Lonchura striata: one gene and its partner. The protein of the gene in region 2 purifies or fractionates together with the protein of the main gene of each other region. This does not show direct contact. Links are inferred from orthologs where the notes say so. Each region holds a gene or a part of one and is shown on either strand. Other genes may lie near its edges. The genes, in order: PARVA and RSU1.

What was found.
Region 1: the proteins of RSU1 (region 2) and PARVA purify together in Homo sapiens (affinity purification with mass spectrometry; 3 studies listed by BioGRID and IntAct, counting the BioPlex papers as one, with this or other methods). This does not show direct contact. The link is inferred for Lonchura striata from reciprocal best matches to the Homo sapiens genes RSU1 and PARVA.

Annotation. Positions count from the first base shown.
Region 1 is NC_134608.1:58,362,806-58,371,372, reverse strand, and holds the start of PARVA (alpha-parvin), read right to left. Parts: upstream 3,453-8,567; 5' UTR 3,351-3,452; coding exon 3,215-3,350; intron 1-3,214. UniProt on the Homo sapiens protein: Plays a role in sarcomere organization and in smooth muscle cell contraction. Required for normal development of the embryonic cardiovascular system, and for normal septation of the heart outflow tract.
Region 2 is NC_134603.1:136,355,307-136,364,086, reverse strand, and holds the start of RSU1 (ras suppressor protein 1), read left to right. Parts: upstream 1-5,478; 5' UTR 5,479-5,568; intron 5,569-5,799; 5' UTR 5,800-5,802; coding exon 5,803-5,911; intron 5,912-8,780. UniProt on the Homo sapiens protein: Potentially plays a role in the Ras signal transduction pathway. Capable of suppressing v-Ras transformation in vitro.

The DNA of each region.
Region 1 (8,567 bases), on a different chromosome or scaffold from region 2:
CTACCTCAACAGAATGTATGCTCCATTTAAAGATGTAGCTGCAGATGCTCTCACAGGGAAGACCACAGTACAATGTTCTCATCCTTGAATTACACCACTGGTGATGAGATGCTGTAAATGAAAACCAGACTACGGCTCTACGTGACAGACAACAACATAAACAAATCTGAGCTCCAACCTCCAGATTTTATCAAGTATTCTCTAATATTTAATGGCAATGTATTTGCCATATTAACATATGTCTTATGGTATGACTAATCCGTGCTTACATCATGTGTGATATCTCAAGTATTTCAGGTTACTCTCTTTCTTTTGGTCAATAACTTGTGCTCTGATATTAGAGAATTCATTTCACTCGTCTAGACTACCCTCACCTCTTCCACTGGTGGACCTCCACCATTGCCAAGAACTTTGAAATGCATAAGCAAATGTTTGCTGTATATTTTATATATATATTTATGCATATAAATTAATGTCAATACAGAAACTGCATTTTATGTTGTATCATAAACTATTTTACACCTAAAACTACATAAACTTTACTCTTTTCATAAATAATCTGCGTTACTCTTCATCATAAAGTCACTTCAGAGCCTAAAAGATTTTCATTTGGTGAAGCATTTTGGCTCTGTTGTTGCAATATACAAAAATGTAGTTCTGACAATGATCAAAACACCTGTTGATGACAAAAATACAAAACTCACAGATGTGTAATTGTGTATCGCCTACAACAGTTAACTACACATACAGCAGAGATGGTACTAAAGTGCAACCAGCATAGTCCCTACAAAAGACAAAACATTTTTGCATTATTAAAAACCACCAGTTCTTAGACCTTGTGGTAAAACAGTGAAGGAAATCAATATGCTTCTGTGCTCTGTGTAACAGCAGAATTTACACCAACTGAAAGACATGCAAATTTTCAGTTGTCCCTCATTTATCCTGAGTTATTCTGAACATTTTCCTATACATCCTGCGCATAAGCAGTTGAATAACCACTTGCACTTCTATGACCAAGACCCACCTCCATAGGAAACCTACCACAGTTTGGTTAAAACAGGAAAAAAACACCAAAACTCAGATCCTAGACGAACACGCAATCTGACCTCTGAAATTCCTAGCTAGGCTTCAAAAACACCTGGAGCCCTACAAAAACAATAAGCACAACTTACGATGGAAGCTACGTGGGCCACAGCCAGCAAGAACAATGCTTATTAATAGTTTGCAAACTTGTATTTCTTTTTAGTAGAGAAAAATTAGGAACTAAGAAAGAGGACAGGCTTCACAGTAAGGCTGAAGCCACCTGAATGTGTTAAAACCCATAAATCAATAAACAGAAAGATAAGATAGCATACTATCAATTTCACCTCTATATACGCTTCTACCAAAGAAATGTCAAAAATATACAGGCAAGTAAAAAGGATACTAAGGTGAAATTAATACAATACATTTTCGTCCATCAGCAAATAACAGTCCTTACAAAGTTAATAAAAAAAACCCCAGCTCTCTAATCCAGTTATTTTTAGATAGACCTTAGAAAATTGGGAAACGCAAAAGACAAGGACAATTCAGTTTCCAAATTTCAAAAGCATAGACCATGATAATGAAATGGCAGGTGCAGGTTTTAATCAATACATGTAATGCATTAATAAGAAGTATGATTTCACAGAAGACATCTTTTTGTAAGATTACAAGATAGTGGATAAAAGCAATTGCTGCCTCTGAAGGTTTGCTGGAGATTTCTGACTTCAGGTATCTGTCACTAAGGAAAAAAGTATTTAATAGTAAAAACAGTACTAACGACAATATAATGGACATACTCAAACTGCCACAAATAGGCTTAAAGGTCTCTATAAACATACCTACAACATGGACTCATCAAGGAAGATTTTTGCTAGCTCAGTGCTGCTGATAGTCATAAATACTCTAACAGGATAATTTTTAAAAATAGGTAATTGAGTTGTAATTCTTTACTATTTCATCAACATCTGGTCCATCTGAAATGACCAGAAAAAGACAAATAATGTGAGCACAATCGTGCAACATGGATTTAATCGAAAAGCAAGACTGCACATCACAGAAACATGACGTGATAGTTAAGAGAATGAGGAGCTGTACGCTCCCAAGTTATGTCATTCTCGTCCACAGCCCTGGCGCTTCTCCAAAACACTCTGTGTCTGGCTTCAGTGCCCATGTGCACACGAGGAGCAAGGGGTGCTGAGCCTCACACCCTTCTTCACGCTGGCAAGCAATGAATTTTGCTAGAAAGCCTGTTTTGAAGCGACTGTTATGTTGTCTCTATTTGCATCATATTTAAATCAAGTTCAGCTGTCAAAACGATGGGTGAGCAAGGTTAAATTCCAATTCTGTCTCTCTCACGGGGTTTCATATAGGAAAATTCAGCGGGGGGGCGGGTATTAATTCACAAGTACGGACAAAGAACCGGACTGTTGTATATGCTGAGTCCTGTAAAGGTTCGCTGTGGCCAGGCAAGCCTTTTGCTCAGCACAGGGATCCCTGCATTGCCCGCGAGCGCTGCTATGGATCCCCACCAGCGGCGTGCATCACACAGAGCGCCGTGCGCTGACCACACCGCGTTACACAGGGCTCAGCACACAAATCCTGCCCAGGGAAAACCCATCCCCGGGCGCCCCCAGGGAAAACCCATCCCCGGGCGCTCCCAGGGAAAACCCATCCCCGGGCGCTCCCAGGGAAAACCCATCCCCGGGCGCTCCCAGGGAAAACCCATCCCCGGGCGCTCCCAGGGAAAACCCATCCCCGGGCGCTCCCAGGCCTGCGGGGCCCGCCGGCCGCCCGGCCCGCTGCGGGCAGCGCTCCTTCCTTCCTTCATTCCTTCCTTCCCCGGCCGGGCCCGCACACAGACACTGGACACAGACTCGGAGCGGCCCCGGGAGCGGCCCCGGGAGCGGCCCCGGGAGCGGCCCCGGGAGCGGCCCCGGGAGCGGCCCCGGGAGCGGCCCCGGGAGCGGCCCCGGGAGCGGCCCCGGGAGCGGCCCCGGGAGCGGCCCCGGGAGCGGCCCCGGGAGCGGCGGGGCCGGGGCGGCTCCTCCCTCGCCTGCCCACCGCGCTCCGCACGTCCTTCCCCGCCAGCCCCTTCCTCCCGCTCCCCAGAGCTTTTCCTCTCCCCCTGTCTCCTCCCCCCCCACAGCAAGGTAACTCCCAGGAAACGTGCAAGCCCGTCGTTAATTTTTACCTTCTTTCGCTTTTTTCCTCCTGGCCAGCGTGCCGCCGAGCTTGCCCAGGAAGGAGTCATCCTTCTTTCTGGAGGGGGGCGATTTGGGGGTGGGGGACTTGGGGGACGAAGGGGATTTCTGCGGGGAGGTGGCCATGCTGGGCCAGCCGCCGGCGCTGGGGACGGAGCGGGCGGCTCCGAGGCCGCGGTGCCGTGGGAGGCTGCTCCCGGCTCTGAACGGAAGCGGAATTATTTCAAGCATTTGAGGCAGCTCCTGCTCCGCTCTCCCGGCTCTCCCGCTCCTTCCCTCCCTCCGCCCGCCCTCCCTCCCGCCGGGGAGGGCCCGCTCGCCTCGCCCGGCTGCCGGTGGCCGCGGGCGGTGCGGGAGCCGCGCTGCGCTCCCCGCCGCGGCTCGCTCGCTGTGCGGGGGCCCGGCGCCTCGCCCCCCGCTCCATCCTCCACCCCTGGGCTGGGTGGGTGAGTGGCCCGGCTGGGTGCCGGGTAGCGTGCCGAAAGGGAAAGGTGGATACGGACACCGTGCCGCTCATCCTCGGCTACCCCAAGGGGAAGGGCCGGAAGGATGGAGTCGCAGCTACGTTCTGTGCTCAGCACCCACAGAAAAATGGAATCGCGGTCCGGGTTGGAAGGGGTCTTAAAGAAAATCTAGTTTCCAACACAGTGCCATAGGCAGGGACACCTACAATTAGACTTGATTGTTCAAAGTTCCATTTAACCCGGCCTTGAATGCTTCCAGGGATGGAATAGCCAAAGCTTCTCTGGAGAGCTTGTTCCAGAGCCTCACCACCCTCCCTCCCAACAAAGAGATTTTTCTTAATATCTTGTCTAAACATCTTCACTTCTTCAGCTTAAGACTATTTCTTCGTTTTCTGTCACTACCTGCCTGGGGCAAGCACATTTATCTCCCTCTCAGGATTTTCATAGAGGTGCACAGAGAGAAATGAAAGAGAAAACAATTTCTGTTCCTTGTTTTTCCTATGTGGAATGTGTGTGGAGAATTGTTTACCTGGGGTGAGTGCTTGGTTGGATTCAGGTGAGGATTGTTTGAGCCTGATGGCCAATCCAACCCACCTGGGGCTGGGCTCTCAGAGAGGGTCATGAGTTGTGTTAAGAGTCAGAGAAAGTAGTATGTAGTTTTAGTATCCTCCTTTTATATAGTATATTGATGTATTTTAGCATAGTTATAATAAAGAAATAATTCAGCCTTCAGAACTGAGTCAGACATCGTCATTTCTTCCCATTGGGTTCTCCTGCATTTACAATACCTGCCCTTGCAAGAAATCCCTCTCCAGCTGTCCTGTAACCCCCCCTTTAGGTACAGGAAGGCTGCTAGGTCTCCTTGAAGCATTCTCCAGGCTGAACAACCCCAACTTTCTCAACCTGTGTTCATGGGAGAGGTGTTCCAGCCCTCTAAGCACCTTGGTAGCCTCCTCTAGACATGCTCCATCAAGCTCATCTCTCTTGTGTTGGAGGCGCCAGACCTGGACACACAAAAGAACTTATGAAGTAATAAAATGTCACTGAATAGTTTCCTGCAAATTCAAGCTTACTACATACATTTCAGTCTGGATAACATTTTGGAAAGCTCTTCTGCCTGCAGTCTTCAGCTGTGTCTGTGGTGAGAAGCTGTGGGCATCATCATATCCACTCCCACAAAACAAAACAACTGTTGTAGTCAGACCAGTATAAAAAGCCTGTGGAAGGAAAGGTGACTTAACATGATAGATTGCCTATACCAACCCTGCTTTGATTTGCAGATGAGCAGCTTATGGGAGGTTTAAAACAGATAATTTGCTGTGACTGGTTCAGGAGGCATCCAGGAGTGGAACAGCATTAATGTCATCTGGATGCACTACTTTCACTTACCACTTAATCACTTGATTAACAATTCAGGCAAAAAGCCACACACACTTCATGCAAATATCTAGCTATCCATTAGGCATAATAAGTGAAATGAAATTACCATGAGGATATTTCTAAATCAGCTAATAATTGTTGTGTTTTTATGAGCTGGTAACATTGGTTAGCTGATGAGGGGCAGACATCAATCTCTGTTTATTGCATGCAGTTAGTATGTGCCCTGGAAAAAAACTCTATTCATCCATCCTGCCATCAGTTATCAGCAGGAATGAGCCCAAGCCTTAGCACAATCCTTTCCTTACATTTTCTCTCTGGTTCTAGCACCAGTTATTGTCTCAGGCCTCTTGTCTATGAATTTCAGCCTGAATTTCACACATTATTCTCCTTATACAGAAGTCCTGCTTATACAGTGTATGTATCATTTTTAAGAACATAATAAAAGCTTCAAAAGGAGAAATACACACAGTAAGCACTTGTAAAAATATGTCTGTAAATCTGTGACATTTACAAACAGAGCAGTGACCCAGCTGAATCTCCATTTGGAGCCAAATGACTATACATGGATGTCAATACAGGATTTTGTGGCCACAGCAGAAGAGGGAACATTTTGGTAAGCACAAGTACCCCTGTGTTTGTGGTAAATAGAGAAGGAACAAGCCAGATACTTCATAAAGAGCCTGTGCAGTACAGGGTAGTCAGAATTCAATATGCACTTGCCAAGTCCCTCACAAAACTCTTAAGAAGGCACAGAATCTTTCCTATTTCTCAACACTGAGTATATGTAAATTAATGATAAATACAGTATTACTTCTTTAATAGCCTCATGAACTATGGGAGCTTGACATCACAAGGGGAAAAAAATGAAATGAAACAATGTGTTTAAGATTAACTTTATCACATCAGGAAACTTAAATACTGTGTGCTTTAAGTAAGATGCTAAAGCAACAGCCAGACCCTAAGTTTACAGTTTTGATTTTGGGATTTCTTGCAGGATTTATGTGCAGTTCATTGTGTGTAACATTACTGCAGTATTTTTCCAGTTGTGATATTTCACTTTGAGGATAATTACAACATTTTCCCCCTGTATCTTACATTTAGAATTACATAGGCTACCTTTTTTTTTTTTTTTTTCTTGTTATGTGGGAATATATATTAACGTATAGCCTTAAATTAATGTTGCATTCATCACAAAAAGTTTTATAGATATACACAAGATCTAAGTTATGGCCTTAAATTAATATTGCATTCATCACAAAAGGCTTTATAGGTATTCTCGAGGTCTGAGTTATGGCAGCTGTGGGGATGGAGTTTGCTCTGCTCTATATTTGACAATAGAATACTTCCAGGATCATGCTCCACGAGCCCAGCACAGAACACAGCAGTGAGCAGGCTGCTGCTCAGGCTGGCCCTGCTGCACCTGGCATAGAGAAATGTGAAGCAGACCATGACAGCTCTCACCACACTCCCTGTCAGCGCCTTGTTTAGCCAGATAAGCCAAACATTACATCAAATTAATTGTATCCTGCTCACATATGTACTTTTGCCAGGCAATAAAAGGTGGCTATGTCCCCTCCCCTCCACCCTTCAAATAATTCTTACTCACCTGCGTATCTGTCCATGCACAGCTGTTTTTTATTTCTTTTAATATGAGACTCAGAATGCTCAGGAGCAGAGTTTTACTTTCCAATGAAACAGAAAAGCAAGGTGTATAATATCCAAACCACGGGCTTGGCTAGCAAGAAAGAGCAGCCAGTATGGTTAAAACTGTGCAATAAATCATCCACTTGCCTTAGAGTATTCCCCTAACATTTTTCTCTGCTCCAGCCTTTTGACCATTCAGTCATTTAAAGAACAGAAGTGGAATTCTTAAAAGTGATTTATCAACTTGCTGCTACTGCTGTGATTGCCTACAGGAACACCCTTTGCTGACTTTCAGGAAGAGGAGAACTAGAGCAAAGTCTACACATTTTATTTTCCTAAGCACTTGTGCTGGCCTGCCAGCCCTGTGTGGTGAATTGCTGAATGTGCCCACCCCTCCCTGACTAATAGTTAATAGCACAGTAAAGGAGCCTGCTGAGCAGAGAAGCTGTTTTAGAACATTAGAACAGCAGAAAGCATCGTATTAAGGATAAAAGGGCTCCAAATTTTCATTGCCAGCATCACCTAAAACTCACACTTGAGGATAAATTTCTTTCCAGCTCACAAAGTTAAGGTTTGGACATATTCATATGCTGGAATTTAAAGCACAGCTATGATTTCTACTCTAACTTCTTTGGTAAAAGAATATTCTGTTTAAATAATATAACAAAATAAGATGGTTTTCTAAAAGTAATAGAGTATTTCCAAATAGATTCTTAAAACATACAATGAAGTTTTGTTGTACATCAGGGAGCAAAACAGATAGACTAAGATGTGATAAAGAAAAATGTACATGAAAGATTAAAGATAACATGTTGTATACAGCTACAGAAATAAATGATTTGAAAGCTTCAGAGGAAAGAAAGTGGGTTTAAAACTTTTTGGTAAAATGGCAATGTCATCCTGGTATTCACATGTTTTGGTACCATGAGGTTACATCAATTAATTACTTACAAAAACTGGGCCAAGCATACTTGCATTTACAACTGTCCTTCTTGAGACAGTTTTAGGAAAAAAATCAGTATTATGATTTTTTTTTTCTTAATAAGCTTCAGTTGTACCCTTCGTTTGGGCCTGTAGTTATGTACAGGTGTGTTATGTGAATATTCCAGCAAGCACAATACCAGCATGCAGAGCCATCAGGTCTCTTCACAGTTCATTAGAAACAACAGAAGAAACCACAATTTTTCTCATAAATATCGGGCAAAGAGATCTGGGTGAAGTCCAGCAAATACCTTGCCCATCATTAAGTATTTGGCAGGAATCAAGCTCCTGAGATGACTGAAAGAACAGGATTTGCAACCACAGCAAACCCATTGTGCTAAACAATGCCAAAAATTGCAGTCCATGCAAAGCCCAGCAGGGACAGCTCTAGATCTTAACAGCAGCAAAGTCTCCAATCTGCTGTGCCACATCCTGTTCCTTGCTCAAGCAAGGAAGAAAACAGTCTATCTTTCTGGAAATGACTTCTAAACTAATGTGAAAATCTTAGTTGAGATCAGACGTGCATTGGGCTACAAAGCAGAAGTTTCAAAGCACAAGATCTCTAAACTTGTTTCCTATGGTCAAACACACTGAAAATCAGTGAGGTGTCCCTTTACCTTGGAGGCAAATCGATTGGTCTTGATTGAAATGGTGATTCACAAAATTGTTTCCCCAAGCTTTTTATAAAATCATAGAATTGTTTAAGTTTGAACAGACCTTTAAGATCAAGTCCAGCCATTAACCCATTACTGCCAAATCCACACTGAACCACATCCCTAAGCACCAAATGAGTTTCTTTAGTCCTGTGGTCTTTCGAAGAGGGCACAGGAGGATGTGTGCAGGCACTGGGATTAGAAGAGCCTCAGTAAATTCC
Region 2 (8,780 bases):
GCAAGAGAAATTTGCACCACAGAAAAGAACAGAGGCCTTATCAAAACTCTCATTTCACAACTATTACAAAGAGTCACTTACAGTGAAAGCAATTCCTTAATGTGATTATTGAAGCAATTAATTATGAAAGGATATTAAAGTGTAAGTGGCAGTTTTAACAAAATCTAGGGACACTTTGAAGATTTCCCAGTGAATGCCAAAAAGCCATCATTCCACAAACATATGAAACTTTATAACAGCTGAGCAGATATTCTAGTTAACATAAAATGTAGAAAAAACAAAGCAGACAAAAGGGACAAGCTATAAAATACAACCCAAAATCCTCAGGTAGCAACTTAGAAAAAGAGAAACCAGTGAAGTCCCACTGGCCAACAGAATGAGATGTAAGCCAGCATTTTATAACTGTCCAAGGACTAAGAAAAACAGCCTATGCACAGTGATACTCCTGCTAACTTCTATGCTAAGTGTAACATAGAAAAATCAGAAATATGTATATTGGGATGAAATTGGGAGGCAGTTATGTCCTACTGAACTGCTAGCAAAACAGAAAGTTCCTCTAATAAGGGAAGACATAAAAGACCATATAATCAAATTAAATATTTTCAGATTAGTAGCCCAGAAAACTTTTACTGAGAGTCCACTCAAACTGCCACTGTACTTGCAGTCAAAGGATGATGCAATATTGTTTATTAAAACTCCCTACAGGGGATAGCAAACAGTAAAGGAACATCTGAAATGTCTGAAGATAAAGCCACAAAATAAATTTTAAAACAGCAATGTTTAAGAAACTTCAAGTACAACCAAGCATGGATTGAGTGGTTTGCCTGCAGTGATAAGGAGGACTGCATTTCTCCTCTGTGGAACATGGCATCACAGGCTTCATGAATGTCCATTGTGGCTTTGACCTTCCTATGAATCACCATGGATTTGGTGCAGTTGGTTCACCACATCTGCAGCTGGAAGAGAATCTCCTCAAGATCTGGATGCTGTCACTTGCTGCTAGGTGGCTGGACATGGAAACATCAGATTTTAGGCAAGAATCAGCTTGCAAGAATGTTGTCATTTTCTGCACTTCACCCAGAGCACAGTTCAGCTGGAAGCCACACATGAAAGGGAAGGATATGTCCCTCCAAACAGCTCTGTGCCACTGCACCAGTGTTCTGTGATACGGTCTTGGCTCCTGCTAAAAGTGCATCAGCCCTGTCAGAAATGAGTTCTCAAGTTAAACACTGGCCTTTTTGCAGGTGTGACAGATTATAAACTGACAAACAGAAACCTGTACATGGTTTTAATGAATGAAGGTCATTAGTGGCTTTTGGACACCAAGTTGCCCAAGGACACAGCAGTCCCTGAGCTCATGGCACTGAGGGCTCCTGCTGACCCAGGGACTGGTACAGAGATGTGCTCTGGTGACCTGACATGTGCCTGAGGCCACTCTGGTAACACAACCCTTGCCCTTGAGGTCTTGAGGGGAAATCCAGCTAAACTGGTGAGTTTGCTGAAATCTGTACTTCAGAAAGGCTGCTTTCACAAAGCATGTTTCACTTTAAAGCAATTAAATGCTTTTGGACATTTTTTATATGATAAATACTTGCTGTTGTTAAGATCTGTCACATCATCAAATTTTATAAAATCATTGAAATTCTGCAGAAGAAAAAAGAACAAAGAGCACTATGAATGAGAGGAAGAGAATTTTTAAAGGTTTTTTTAAAATCTAGCAATAACTAACTAATGCTTGGTGCATCTTTAAATGTTGGAAATACTCAATACCTATGCATAATTTTATTTACAAATGAGCAAATGCATGAGGCTATTTAGAGGGAAAAACAAAAAAGCCCAGCAGAGAATGTGCTCATGAAGTCTGTTGAATGAAGCTGCTGGTACAAGGTTTAATTGATCCAGCCCAACTGACTCTTGCCAAAAATAGTCAAAGTCTAAAATTAAATTATCAAACCCATTCTTTAAAAAAACAAAGGAAGAAAGTAACCACTGCAGTCCTCTAACATTTTATACGAGGAACCACAACAAAAATACCAACTGCAGAAGTATTAAAGTGGAGGTCCTTAGAGGAGAGAGCTGATGCTAAGCCATGTTTCTATCTTGGAAGGTAAGGAAAACTTGCTTGAAAATGAATGCACGGCAAACACAAACAAGCAGAACCAAACAGATAATCTGGAAATAATTATTCCATGAAACTTCTATGTGCTTTTTGCAGTGTACAATTCAAAAGACAAAATCTGTACTTAGTAAGAAATATCATTTCATCTCACAATACTGCCATGAAAACCTTTGCTTTTATGTCTGTGCACATTGCTATTTTATAAGGTCATTGTTGTGAATGCTGCACGTCTGTACTGTAATAACTGCATGACTACAACCTCCCTCTGTCAATGACAAAGCAAATAATGAAAGTGCAGGTTTTCAGTTTCTGGAGCCTGCATGTTTTTATTTTACATGGAAAGCTTCTTCTGCATGTTACTACAGATGTTTATTATTATACAAAAGTAATTTTAGATGCAGTTATATATGAATGGTAAGCCTCCAAAGACTAGGATTTGAAGAATAAGCACTACACTGTCTGTAACAATGTTTTTAATTGCCCTTCCCATGTGGCAGGACTGTTCTTTATAAATGAGAAATAATACCACAATGAGATATTCTTACAATAATAGTTACATAAGTAAAGGTGACAGAAGATAGAGAGCTAAAATGATAGAAACCATGGTGCTGTCAATTTAAAAGAGTAGATTATTTTAGTTAAATTTACAAAGCAATTTTGACTGAAAACCAGTTTTCAATTGTTTCATTAAGCAAAGGAGGAGGTGTCTCAATTTCCCATAGTAACATAGGATATGTGTCCTAGGCACCAGAATTAACATATTTGGTGTAATTACTTTTTGTCAACTGCCAAACTGAAACTGCAGAAATATTCTGCAGTCCTAATTAAAATGAAAGGCAATAAAAATTCATGGGATTGACTATATTGTTCCCAATACAAAACAACCGGATTAATAACAAATATATGTTTAAAATATTTATTAAATGACAATAAAAATAGAGGCCAGATTCTAGGAAGTTTTTTTACAGCAATCAGAAAAATAAATATTGCATGCAAGTTATCACACTTAGTGAGTCTAATGTTGATGGATAATCTGTAGTAGCAGTGCCCAGCACTACACAACTGGTTTTGCAGGGGCATGTTGCTGTTGCATCCTTTTGATGACACACATCCTTGCATTAATGTTGCTCATTATCATAGCTTTTCTTGAAGGGAGAAAACAGATAAAAATAGAATAATAATTTAAATGTCATTTCCCTGGTTAGTATAAGTACCTAAGACAGAAACAAGGGAGGCATCAGAGCTACTCATTCCCTTGCTGATCCCCAGCACAGTGAGAGGAACCAGCAGGAGGCAGGTCCAGCCATCACTGCCGGGGCAGAGCAGGCTGGGAGCATCACTGCAGGGGCAGCTTCTGCCTCCTCCAGCCCCCACAGGGGAAACTGCAGCTCTGCCACACAGTCATGGCCATACACCTACTCACTGTCACCTGCTTTAGCCTGCAGGCCTAAGGACAGAAGCCAGCCCCTGCAACGAATTCAGGCACCTGCTCTACAGATATTTAAGCCATATGACGGATTTAGAACAGATCTGACAGATATCAAAGCCATTTTATAGTTGTTTCATAAGCAAAAAATCAGTAGCTGGAAGGTACAGCAAGACCTAAATTGGAGAAGTCTCTACTGTGAGCTCAAGCACTGAATGTGTGGGGAGGGCTCTACTGGCCAGTCCGTAGGAACAGGCTGGCCAGCCTCTAGCTGGGGGTAGAGAGGAGCCAAATATTTCTGGGACCAAAGGGGTTTTGGAATGACTGCACATACTGGGAAGAGGAGGGGGGCATAAGAGAGGGGAGAATGGGTGACTGCAGTGACACAGACCCTCTATGGGAAATGACTCTTCATGACCAATCTGAAAAATCAGTTTTCAGGATCAAGGACCTTTGGATAGAGTTGCTTGTGTATCTTCCTTCACACTCCTTCTCAGACAATAGTATTCACTGCTTGATGAGACACTGAGAAACTTTAAAAGGAAGGCTTGAGAGCAACTCCCTTTGCCAAATCTAATGCCAATATCCCTGACTGGGGCATGGATTCATGCTCAGAAAAAAGGTTTGCTCAAGCAGGACAGAAAGAAGGTCACATAGAAGCTGTGAATGATAGACGAACTCTACACAACATGATAATGAAATTAGATAGATGGCAAAAAAACCCCACAATCCTGATGAAAGGGAGTAATGACAATATGTTCATTAAGTGGGGAGTAATTAAATACTTCTATGGTAGGAGCAGAACGTGGCTATCTAGGTCACATGCAATGTTTTGATCACTGCAAAAATGGAGTAGAGAAAAGCCAGGTGAGCTTTTTGTTAGCCATGAAGATTGTTTTGTAAGTGTCTTGTTAGAGTCACATGTGCTGGTAGTTGGAATAAAGGAGCAGATTTAGAGCACATTTACAGATAACTAATCTGCCTGAGCCTTTGTTACTAAATGACACCTACAATCATTTGCATGAAATAAGAACAGCAGACATGTTAGCATTTAGGTCTTTGGGACAACTGACTGGTAGCAGTTAGGGCATTTTCTTAGATGGGAAAGGGATCCAGATTCATGGTTGTGCAGACAAAAGAAGAACTGTACATCGTCATCCTGTACATCTGAGTGACAGTGGGTTCTGCTGAGAAATCCAGCTAAAAGGAAGATACTCTTCAGTAGTGCCTTGTAAGGAAGACCTGAAAACAGTCAGTAACTTTAGGAAACACTCAAGGTAGGAAACTCCAATTAGGAATAAACATGCTACAGTTCTGCAGACCAGATCCTTACATTCCTAAAAAAGGTGAACTTGAAGTTGTGCCTTCATAAAGTTTTTTTATTTGCTGTCTTATGCAAATGCTCATCTTCTTGGTTTTTGTGGATACCATTTTTAGGCTACTAAGTAACACGATGGAGTACATATGCAAAATTCAAAGCTGTGGTTCTCAATGGGTAGCCTGGCCTTAGGTAACTTAATAGATTTAGTCATTAACTGCTCTGAGCTTCCGTATCTGCTGAATGACAGTAAGTAGGAGCACCTTAAATCCTGTGAAAGAGATTACATGGATAACTACAACGCCACAGCATCTCTACTACCGGTCGAGACGGGTTACGAGCGCTCAGGACGTGGACCCAGCCTTGTGACTGGTTTTGCTGCTAGAGCCGACTGGAAAACCCAGGAAGTCACCTGAAAAAATGGGCACCGCTGGTTAAACGCAGCGGGATTTTTTTGCTGTGGGTTATTTTGGCGATAATGCGCTCCGTCCCGGCCGCCTCCCCAAGCCCCGGAGCGCTCCGGGAATCCCGCCCCGGCCCTGGCGCCGGTCAGCGCGGGCGGGGCTGCGCTGCGCCTGCGCGCGGGGCGGGGCGGGGCGCCCGGGATCCGCCGGCCCGCCCGTCCCGCCGCCGATCCGCCCGCTGCCCCGCCGCTTCCCATCGCCTCCCATCGCCTCCCGCCGCCTCCCGCCGCAGCGCCGCGCGGTGAGTGCCCTCGGACAGGGCCGGGCCTGTTGCCCGCCCGGGGCGGGCGTGCGGCCGGCATCCCGGGCAGTGCCCCGCTGCCATGGGCGGGCGCGGCGGCCGGGACGGGACGGGGCCCCCGGCGGGCTGGGCAGGGGGTTCTCTGCGCTCGCGGCCGGCGCTGTCCCGGGTTGGAGCCTCGGCGGGTTTCCCCCGCCCCCGGCTCACTCTGTCCGTTTCTGCCCCGCCTAGACCATGTCCAAGTCCCTGAAGAAGATCGTGGAGGAGAGCAGGGAGAAGAACCAGCCCGAGGTGGACATGTGCGACCGCGGCATCTCCAGCATGCTGGACGTGCCCGGCCTGTGTAGGTACCGGCGGCGGCGGGCGGGCACGGCGCGGAAACTTCCTTATTTGTCCCGGGCGAGCGGGGCCCGGCCTGGGCGCGCCCGGCGCTGCCCCGCTGGGACCGGGACTCCGCGGGGCGGGGCGGCCTTTGGGCACCGGGCTTGGGGGGAGATCCGCGGGCTGACCAAACCCCCGCGCCCGGCTGCCGGCAGCACCGCCAGGAGCCGCCCGTGTGCGTCCGGGGCAGCCCCGCACGGGCTCGGCGTTCCCTGTCACATTGCTGGCGTTCTGTCGGTCGGGAGACTTTCCCTCTTCTCGTCCTGCTACCGAAACAAAACCATCGGCTAAGTAGATCTCCACTGGGTCTTTAAAGGGATAGGGTGACAGCCTGCAACTACGGGCGACTGGTCTCTGAAGAGAGGGCAGTAATACTGTATCACACATACGGCAGCATCGTGCTTTGGATGATATACGATTGCACATGCTTGCTGAACCATGACAGGGTGCTGCTGTCGGTACGGTGCATTTACTATAGTTAAATTCACAGCAAATACAGCATACCAATAGCAACATGCTGTTACAGTTCTGGAGAACACATAAATGAAGAGCAGCTTAGGTGTCTTGCCTTGCTAAATTGCACATGATGTTATGACTTAGCCAATACTCTGGGAATTAAAGTTGTGACTGTCTGTAGTGTGCCACAGGCTGACATTTTTCTGAATGCATGATCCAATGAGAGGAAAAAAAGCAAAATCTCAACCAACCAATGTACTTAAAATTCTTGACTGTATCCTGTTTTAGCTCTTTACTGTGTTTGTTAAACTTGAGAGCGGTCAGGAGCAAATGTACATAACTCTTCTCGCAAGATAGATATGAGCTCAGGGAAAGGTATGGCTCACTACCAGCTCGCCATTATCTGCAGAGTTGAGAGCACATCAAGGTGTCTTCACACCTTATCTTCCCATCAGTAAAGGATGAAGTCTTAAGTACAGTTTTGCAGAACTAGGTTCTGTACTTAAAGTCTACATTCTGTACTACTGTTCTGCTTCTGTGTGTTGCGTGGGCCTGTGGGAAGATGGTGTTGTAAGGACCACATATGTGAATTCACATTAAATAGAAAATTTAACAGAGTACTGTTGCTTTTGTTAAGTAGACTTGGTGCCTACTATCAACACTAGATAGGTAATTAATTAACTAGTTTTGATCTTTTAAAGTGTGAAAAAAGGATAATGTTGAAGCACATTGATAATCCTAAAAAAAAAAAAAAAGCTTTTCTTGCACAAAGAGTCTTTGGGGTTTGTTGTTCAGGCAGGGCCAGGGACCAGGGTAGGGCAGTGTGGTCCCCAGATGCTCCCTGATACCAGGTTGCTAATTAAGCATCTGAAATGTCTTTGGCAGAGAGCTCTCTACGTGAAGTATAGACTTTGGTACCCTACTTACACTGCATCAGAGGAGTCTCTGCACAGATACTCTTGGTGCACATTGTGTGACTTGATCTAGCATGGGGATTTGGAGCCTTCAATTTGAGATGAAAGATAGGGAGGGGAGAAATGATGACTGGTTTCTGTTAAATTAATTGCTTTTTCAGTTATTATATTCACGGACAGAACACAGAAGTTGCTTTGTTTTTTTTTTTACCATGGAGGTATTTGCCTTCAGGAGAAGGAACACCTTTCATCAAATAAAAAGTAACGAATAGCTATTACTTCTGAATTTTTAGTAAAGGGTTGAGGAAGTGTTGAACTTGTTTTCGAACCTTGTCACCTGACTCCAAATAGATGGTCTTCTCTAATGTAGATTGGATGTTTTGGTTTTCTCTGCCTCTCAGAACTGGTGTGTAAGCTAAAGTAGACTGACCTAGTACCTTTCCTTCTCTGTGTGTTACATACCTTTTCAGGGCAGTGTTAAAGCTTGCCTTTTCAGGTATTTTTATTTTTTTCCTTCCATGAAGTAAAGGTCTCTATTAAAAGCAGTCATCACTATTCATGCCCAGTGACTCTTCTTGCACATAATTTCATCTTTAAGGAGGGCCACTAGTAGATGTTGAGAGTTAAGTTTAGATAATGATTGGAGGGAACAGTTTTGGCTATTTGAGTTTTGTAGGTTGGAAGGTATGCCGGAGTTACTGTGTTCAGTAGCCCCTGATCAGCATTTTGTCTCATGTAATTATATAGTGGTTATGAATACCCCTACCAGAGGTGCTAAGTACCTTTTAAAGGTAAACTGCTCCTTCTAGTCCTAAATCTCCAAGGAAAGGACTAAGCCTTGTCTCACTGCATGTTTGAGAACTTGCTGCAGAGCGGCTAATGAGCTTGTATTTAACCTTTCTTAACTTAATTCACATAGGGGTAATACAGGCACAAGGATTTGGAAGCAGTGTACCATGTAACATCTGTTCAGTGTGCCAGTCCTTTTCCTTAGGTGTCACCCTGTTCTTGTCATGTGTGTTTAGGAAATAAAAAAGAAAAGTAAGTGATAGAGAAAAGTGGTGTTATGTGGTGACAAAGAAGAGCAAAGGAGAATATATGCCCTATCTTGGATACAGTTCTCTTCTGGCTTCTGTTTTCAGTCTAGGCTTCCTGCAGTACAGGGCAGTCAGTCATACTTTCTTTTGCATTGTCTTCCATCCTCTGCAGTAGCTGTAGGAGAGAAAAAACAGACAAAATTTGGCTTCTGTCAAATACCAGTGTGTCTTTCCAATTAAGAATGAAATACTTCTATCTGGAAGGAGATTGGCAAGCTACCTTAGACCCACAAGCTTGGCAACCTTTACATCTCTTCCCACTTTCATGTTTGGCAGAGAAAGAGTATGGTTACCAGCTTATATACAACGTGAAGTTCAGATTCAAAAAAAAAAGTTAAGTAGTCCCTGAAGCACTTCTAACTCA